2 linked regions of the Tribolium castaneum genome follow. The protein of the gene in region 2 interacts with the protein of the main gene of each other region in a biochemical or structural test. Links are inferred from orthologs where the notes say so. Each region holds a gene or a part of one and is shown on either strand. Other genes may lie near its edges. The genes, in order: Pex19 and Abcd3.

The links.
Region 1: the proteins of Abcd3 (region 2) and Pex19 form a complex in vitro, tested with the Homo sapiens proteins (4 studies listed by BioGRID and IntAct, with this or other methods). The link is inferred for Tribolium castaneum from reciprocal best matches to the Homo sapiens genes ABCD3 and PEX19.

The regions. Positions count from the first base shown.
Region 1 is NC_087401.1:15,465,417-15,468,785, forward strand, and holds Pex19 (peroxisomal biogenesis factor 19), read left to right. Parts: upstream 1-1,726; 5' UTR 1,727-1,829; coding exon 1,830-1,896; intron 1,897-1,943; coding exon 1,944-2,581; intron 2,582-2,630; coding exon 2,631-2,738; 3' UTR 2,739-2,797; downstream 2,798-3,369. Other genes in the region: pickpocket protein 19, read left to right, coding at 1-100, 574-724, 776-876, 929-1,034, 1,086-1,113; Pgk (phosphoglycerate kinase), read right to left, coding at 2,880-3,019, 3,069-3,169, 3,220-3,369. UniProt on the Homo sapiens protein: Necessary for early peroxisomal biogenesis. Acts both as a cytosolic chaperone and as an import receptor for peroxisomal membrane proteins (PMPs).
Region 2 is NC_087395.1:13,833,534-13,838,012, forward strand, and holds the start of Abcd3 (ATP-binding cassette sub-family D member 3), read left to right. Parts: upstream 1-1,431; 5' UTR 1,432-1,609; coding exon 1,610-1,731; intron 1,732-1,783; coding exon 1,784-2,023; intron 2,024-4,479. Other genes in the region: pont (ruvB-like helicase 1), read right to left, coding at 123-385, 441-744, 795-935. UniProt on the Homo sapiens protein: Broad substrate specificity ATP-dependent transporter of the ATP-binding cassette (ABC) family that catalyzes the transport of long-chain fatty acids (LCFA)-CoA, dicarboxylic acids-CoA, long-branched-chain fatty acids-CoA and bile acids from the cytosol to the peroxisome lumen for beta-oxydation.

The sequences.
Region 1 (3,369 bases), on a different chromosome or scaffold from region 2:
ATATATGCCATGTGTCAATGTATACCGTTTCTTATACCACTCAGTAACAGCAGCAATGTGTGCACGTTGGCCGACGTTGCGTGTCTTAACAGATATAAAGGTGCTTAAGCCATTACATACAGGGTGTCTCAGCAAGACTTAATATCTCAGATATTTGTCAACGGATTTTTATGAAATTTAAAAAGCAGATATTTTAGAAGATAAAGATTAAAATCCAATTAATGCAAAAACTCAAGTCTTAAAAACGTAATTTTTACATGCCTTTTTAAAATGCTAAGCCTTTTAAGACTTATATTAAAAAAATTATCGTTAGTGAAAAATGCTGAAAGAAAAAACTCGTTCGTGGAAGACGTCTGTTTTGCGAGAAAAATGAGAAGCAAACTGTTAAACGTGGGTACGGATGCAAAAAAGAAATGTGTTTTAAAATTTAATTTTTTAGTTGAGGTCATTTTTTTGCCCCTAAAATATGTGCATTCTAAATTTCATAAAAATCCGTTGACAAATATCTGAGATATCAGGCTCGAAAGTCTTAGCTGAGACACCCTGTATACTTTTTTATGAATGGTTTTATAGAGAAGTGGACTTCGCTCTTTCCGGACGACCTTGAGCCAGGCCCGTATTTGCAAAAAGAGCGCCAAGATTCGCTACGTTGCGATAATAAATGTTACTCGTCATGTGCTGAAACGGTGTACGAGGCCCATGCCAATTCTTTCCCAATTTTGAAGTTTGGCAAAATTATTTAAAAAAAAACTTTTTTTTTATTTCTAAGTTTCAGTAAAACGGACAACAACGTTACTCGAATTTTTGTGTATTATTCGGGCAGGTTTTCAAAGTTGTACCTTCAAGACGTTGTCTATTACTGGTTCGAAGTTTTGAGTAATTGATAATTTATTATAGTGTGAAATTTTCTTCTAATTAGCAATTCCAGGCAATTTTGGCGGCATTTTTGGAATATTTGTTGGTTGGAGTTTGATATTTATTATACAATTGTCGGCCTATTACACGCGAAAAATCCTAGAGAAAGTACTTAAAACGTAACCAAATCATTTTTTGTGGAACGTTGGATGGACTTTACTTTATTTTAGAGTGATGACATTGATTTTAAACACTTAGATACGAAAAGTAGTAAGAAAGCCTTTTCAGAATACTTTGATTTTTTGCCCTGTTTTTAAAGTATATTTAAAAATTAATATTTTTTCAAAGATTTCGCCCTGTTTTTATATTGAGCACAAAAATGAATAAGGTTTCATCTGAGCCAGTGGCGGAACTAGGGGTGGGCTCATGAGGGTCCATATTTAGTTTCATTTTGTCTGCTTTTTGCTGTTGGATCTCAACCCACTCTTTTATTATTTATAAAATATATATTTAAATAATAATTTAAAATGTAAATAATAAATATAATAAATGATAATAAATAATAATAAATAATAAATAATAAATTAAATATAATTATGATATATTTGCTATTTATACTAACGGAATTAATCTTTTCGGACGTTACATAATTTAACGTAAATCCTTTTATTCTACAAACATTACCTGTATTACTCTTATAACAATAACAAATGCGTCTTAAAGAGTGTGAAGCGAAAAAATAAATTTTTATTTTCAAATTGCCCATATTTTTCTGTCAAAAACGGCAAGGTACCAACCACACAACAACAAATTATAACGAAAAACGTGGTGGTACACCCTTTTGTAGAAACCTGTAATTGATAGTTGAAGGGAATAGCGACAGGTGGCCTAAAAATCCCCAAATCACCTGACATTTCCCTAACCTCACTTTTGTAACAAATTCTTAAAGCTTCCCGTTTTATACCAATTTTACAATGAGCGAGTCAAAAAAGCCCGATTCGGCCTCAAAAGTGGACGCCGAGTTGTCCGAGCTCTTGGACAGTGAGTCCCGTGGTGTAAAATTCGTTGCGTAACTCCCTCATTTCAAGGTGCTTTGGAAGACTTCAAAAGCGAGCCGCCCAAAGACAGCAAACCTGCGCCCCCACAGGACGAAATCCCGGACGTTGAGTGGTCGGACGATTTTATCCGACAAGCCGCAGCTCAATTCGAGTCAAACTTTGCCAATTTGCTTGGCTCAAACCCTGACGGGTCCCAGTTAACCCCCGAGCAAATCCAGGCCAAGTTCCAGCAAATGGCAGAGACGGCGCAACAAGTCATCGAAAATCCGAGCGGAGACTCGGGTGATTTCGCAGCCACGATATCACAGACGCTCCAGGGGCTGAGTCAGGGGGCTGAGGGGCTCCAGAACCCCAATTTGGAGCAGGATATTATGAACTTGTTTGCGGGACAGGGGGACCAAAACGCCTTTATGCCTTTCATGCAAGGGATGATGCAGAGTTTGCTGTCCAAGGACGTGCTCTATCCGAGTCTCAAGGACATTTTAGACAAGTTCCCGGAGTGGTTGAGCAAAAATAAGGACAAGTTGAGTCAAGAAGACGCAGAAAGATACGAAAAACAACAGAAATTGATGGAGGAGATCTGTGCCGAGTTAGAGAAGGAGAAAGAGAGTGATAGTAGTGAGCAAAAGAAGGAGAGGTTTGACAAGGTCTTGAGTTTGATGCAAAAGGTGCGTTTTTTGTTTAATGTTGTTCCAAGAATGATTTTTCTCGAATTAGTTGCAAGATTACGGACAACCCCCGACCGATCTAGTGGGCGACGTGGGGCCCCCTTTGCCCCTCGAAATGCAAAACAACGCCGACCCCAATCAGTGCAATGTAATGTAATTGGTGAAAACACTGTTGTTTGTTATTTATTATTTAAATAAATTGTTTGGGAAAAAACCGCCATTTTGTTCACCCAATACCAACCACACAAACTCAAAATCACTAGTTTATTACAATAATTTACAACAAAGTTCGGGAAAATCAAGCGTCGGAGAGGGCGGCCACCCCTGGTAGGACCTTGCCCTCCAGTAGCTCCAAACTGGCGCCCCCGCCCGTCGAAACGTGCGAAACCTTATCCTCAGTCTTCCATTTTGCGGCACAAGTGGCCGTGTCACCGCCACCTAGAACACCAAATTTGACAAAAACCGCCCACAAAAGTGATTTAATTACCAATAATCGTGACACAGCCCCTTTGAGTCGCCGCCACGACTTCATCCATTATGGCTTTGGTCCCTTTTGCAAAATTTTCAAACTCGAAAACACCGGCTGGCCTAGAACCCATAGTTGGCCACGGTTGCTAAAGTCAGTCGTACCAACTTACCCGTTCCACACTATCACTTTGGCCCTCTGAATGGGGGCTTTGAACGCTTCGATCGACTTCGGCCCGATGTCCAGCCCCATCCAGCCGTCGGGGATCCCCGCCTCGAGAGTGGCAGCCCCCACTTGCGCCTTCTCGTCGAATTTGTCCGCC
Region 2 (4,479 bases):
AATTTTTCAAAAACATGATTAAATTTTGTTGATTTATTTGTACTGTTCAGTTTGTCTTGAAACTTGAAAAAAAACACGGAGCTACCGTTTATCCAAAAATATTAAGAGCGGATTATACATACTTGAACCACCTCCTTCTTTTTGTGAACTTCCCCCTTTGGAAGCGGTACATATTCCTCAGCTTCTAGATCAAACTCAGTCGCATATCCATCAGATCTGCCTTGACGCTTAACAGCCCCACTATTGGCTTCAATATAAATAACGTCACCTACTTCGACTTTTTCCTTCTGAAGGGCTTCATAAATACTGGGGTCGAGTTTCAGTTGTTTGCTACCTTTTGCAGTTTTCAGGCCAATAATTACATGACTTACTGTCTTTCCATACCCTACAAAACCAAAAGAAATATATAGAACATTGTCAAAGTGTCTAAAAACTAAAACCTCCAGCAGGATTCTCCGTTTCAACAGGAGTCAATTCAGTAACTTCCCCCTCATAAACCTCCTTAGTCTCCCTAATGCGCAGCCCTATGGCCCTCCGGAAATTCTCCATCAACACCTCCGTCTTCTTAATCTCAGAACTGTAAACCTCGGACCCCACCATGGGGCAAAAGGGCACCTTATTACCCAGTTCTTGCGCGATGGCCAAAGCTATCGCAGTTTTACCGGTCCCAGGGGGACCCGCTAGAAGCACAGCCCGTCCGGCCATTTTCTTACTCCTAATCATATCCACCACAATCCCTGCGGCCTGAAACCACTGAATTTAGCCGAACTCTGATTAAAAAAGACAAACCTAACCTCCCTAGCCTGTTCTTGGCCGACCAAGCCGGCCGCTGTTGGCAACGCGAAACCATTCTCATCTAACCCTAAACCTTTAATGTGGCTGTGGGCACTTATTCGTTGCGTTTTCACCGTACTTTTCACTTCTTCAATCTTCATTTTTGGAAAACACGCTAACCAAACTTTGCTTGATCAATTTGAGTTTTATTGTTGTGATGTTGGTATGGCAACAACCGGTTGGAGAATTTTGGAGCGTTGGGGTGGTCATAGTGACCATTTCAAATTCATTTTTGATTAAAAAATCGTTTTTAATATTCTGTTCGAACTCAGCAGTCACAAAGTGATTTTTGAAATGTTTCATTATAATACTATGACCTAGTCAAATTTTAAAGAAATTGCGAATTTAATTTTACATTGATCGAGTCACCTGAGACACCTGAGAAATGGCATGTCAGCTCAACATGACAGAACGGCCATTTGTCAATTATCACAAAATGGAAAACTTTCTAATTTTCCTTTAATGAATCCTTTCGATTTTAACGATCGGTTAATGCATTCCACAGGTGAGTATTTGGCGTGTTTGTTGTCTCTTTCTCAAATTGCGGCTGTCCCTGTCTTGCAGGTTCGGCCAAAATCATGTGATCGGTCGAAGCTCCAATGACAGTCGCTGACTGGAGCTCAGTAAAATCAGTAAAATACTTGGTAAAGTCTGCTTAAACGTTAGGTGTCAGTGTTTGTGGATGAGTGAGTGGAAACAAATACAATTGATCGGAAAACTGCTTGGTCACGATCACTCAATACTTCTTGTGAAAAGTGCGAAAAGATGAAGTAAAATGGCACCCAGTTTTAGCAAATATGTGACAAGAAACAATGCTCTTGCAGCCGCTGGAGCATCGACAGCTTTATTATGGATTTTAATATCACGACGAAGAAAAAATTTGTACAAACTGGACAGGTATGAAAATTGACCCCACTTCGAGACTTGTTTGACTCCGGTTTTGTTCTAGGAGAAAAGTCAGGAAAACCGTGGATGAAGAAGTGAAATATTTTATATCTGAGAAGAAAGAAAATAGGATTAAGGCGCAAGTTGATAGGCAATTTCTTAAGCAACTTAATCACCTACTTAGAATAATTATCCCAGGATGGACTTCACCTGAGGCGGGATTTCTATTCCTTGTAGCTGCGAGTTTAGTGGCTAGATCTGTGTGTGATTTATGGATGATAGATAATGGAACGAAAATAGAAAGGTAAATCGAACAATGAGTTGTTGGTTACTTCAGTTAAGGAAGCTTAGAGGTTATGTAATTGCATTCCGAATCTGAACTTTATGTGATTAAGTAAAGGCGTCAAATATTTATGCCGTCTTAGCCAACGGTTTTGGTAGAAATATTTTTGCTTTTTTACCGTGTTATCATCGTGACTGGATATTTGTATAAAGTCACCGATTTAATTAAAATTCATTAACCTTGAGGGGTTCATTATCTGTCTGAATCTAAAGAGGAAAAATACCACCAATATTTTACCGTTGTGATATTGCTGTTGACACAGCTTTCACCCTACAGTTGGTATTTTTTTAATAACACGTGTTTCATAAATTGCTTCGCATTGCCATTATGTAATATTTTGTTTCCTTGTATTGGATATCTGTATACAGACCTGGATTATTCATTGCGATTTTTTATGGTAAACATACGTAGAGAGTTGCTAAGCTCTGAATGACGTAAATGTATGCATTGTGCATCGTTTTTAATGAGAATTGTGCTCATTTGCTGATGGAAATTTTATTATTTTAATGAACTATGTACTTACCTTTCTCTCAAAACAATCAAGATTAGAGATTTTGTTTAATTACGTTACGGCAAACGTGTCTTATTGACAATTTCTAAGTTTTGAAAAAAAGTACAGACGGATTTAATATTAGCGAATAAATTAGAAATTATCATTGTGTTGATAGCAACAACATAAAAAAGTTGTGATAGCGTATTGTTTACAATGAATTAACAGTTTTGGGGAGTAAAAATTATTACATCGAAATAAATTATATTTTGTCCTAATCGTTACAGAACTAAAACATTAAAATACGTGTCATGTAATTGTAAACTGAGTTTGTTGTTTTTTTTATAAATCATTTACATGAAAATTGTTACTTAATGAATGAGAACTTTACAAATGTGCGTTTAAAAATGACTTCAGATAATTACTAATTAGATAGGTATATTATTTAGGAGGTTGTAGTTAAATTCTGCTCAAAAAAGTACGAATGAAATGTTAAATTTTTAATTTAATGAGTGCAGAAAACCATACGAGTTTTACAAGGACACATTGTCTAACAAGTTGATTACATTTTTTTATAATGGAACAAAATTAATGAATCTCATGGACTTTGAACCATGAAGAAAAGAATTACTATTATTATTTTCGATTTTAAAAGACAGGTATTGTAAGAGTACTAAAGTACGTGTATCTATTAGGTATTTTATTTCGACACTTTTAACATTTAACATGAGACTTAATGAAAATTAAATACATAGTACTTTATTAGTTGTAAATTTTCGTAAATTTCGGTGTGTAAGTATTTGTAAAATTTTGCAAAATAGATTACTTTTCTGTTCCAAAATAGTTCTCACATTTAGTAAGATGCACGAGATATACGCCTATTATTTACTCGTTTCTTACAGTACAGTTTCTAAACTACATATTTTTGTTAGCTACCTGCTTTAGTACGAAATGCGGTTGACGAAGAAAAACAACTATATGGTGCTTCTTAAATTTATTAAAAAATTGTTATGCAAATACACACAAAAACTGTATGCAATATCAATTATTACTACCACAACAAACGAATTTCTTGTTTAAAAATTGACACCAGCCCACCTGCAACTGATTCTCAGCCTACGAATGTGGCATTTATCATGGATAACCCTTTTCGGGGGCGATTAATGATTATGGATGATTGTTTAAATTACTGCTTGTTTAATACATATTCAGAACATTTTCCATTTTATAGTAATACTACCAGGTGAGCAATCTTATCGACCACCTAAGAAAGTCGAGATTTCTAGTTAAATAAAAAAAATATTGTATTTTACACGCCTGATTGTAAGGTATCGCCCCTAATTTTTTGGTAATTTTTCACTTACAGATAAAGATAGTAATTAAAAAAAAAGTAATTTTTGACCAAAAAGTTAAATTCTGAATTTTATACTAAACCACGCGTATTTTATAAGGTTGCCTCACCCAGTATGTAAATTGCAATAAAAAAAATTTGATATTGAGTTCTATTGGAATGTGAACGTTTAAATAAAAATAACTAACTAAAAATTGTTATCTTGGCTAGAGAAGAGATCCGGAACAACTTTATAAAGTTTTAAACAGATTGATCTGGATTAATAAGTCCCTTTTTGAAATCGTCACAAAAATCATCGTTATCGATATGAAATCCCGTCTATTAAGTTTCACGATATCGATGAATTTCGTCTGTACACAACATTTGTTTGGGTCACTGTGTCGACCACAATGACGATATCACTTTGCAATTAGCAACATGGAAACCAAAGCACTTATTAATACGATTTATTATAAATAAGTACTCCTTCCTCTAGTATTTATGGTGGGTAGTACGTTTTTTTGAATTTTTCATTTTAGAGTATTAGAAAAATACAAGTTGGTATTAAGATTTTGATAAAGGAAACGCATTGTTTAA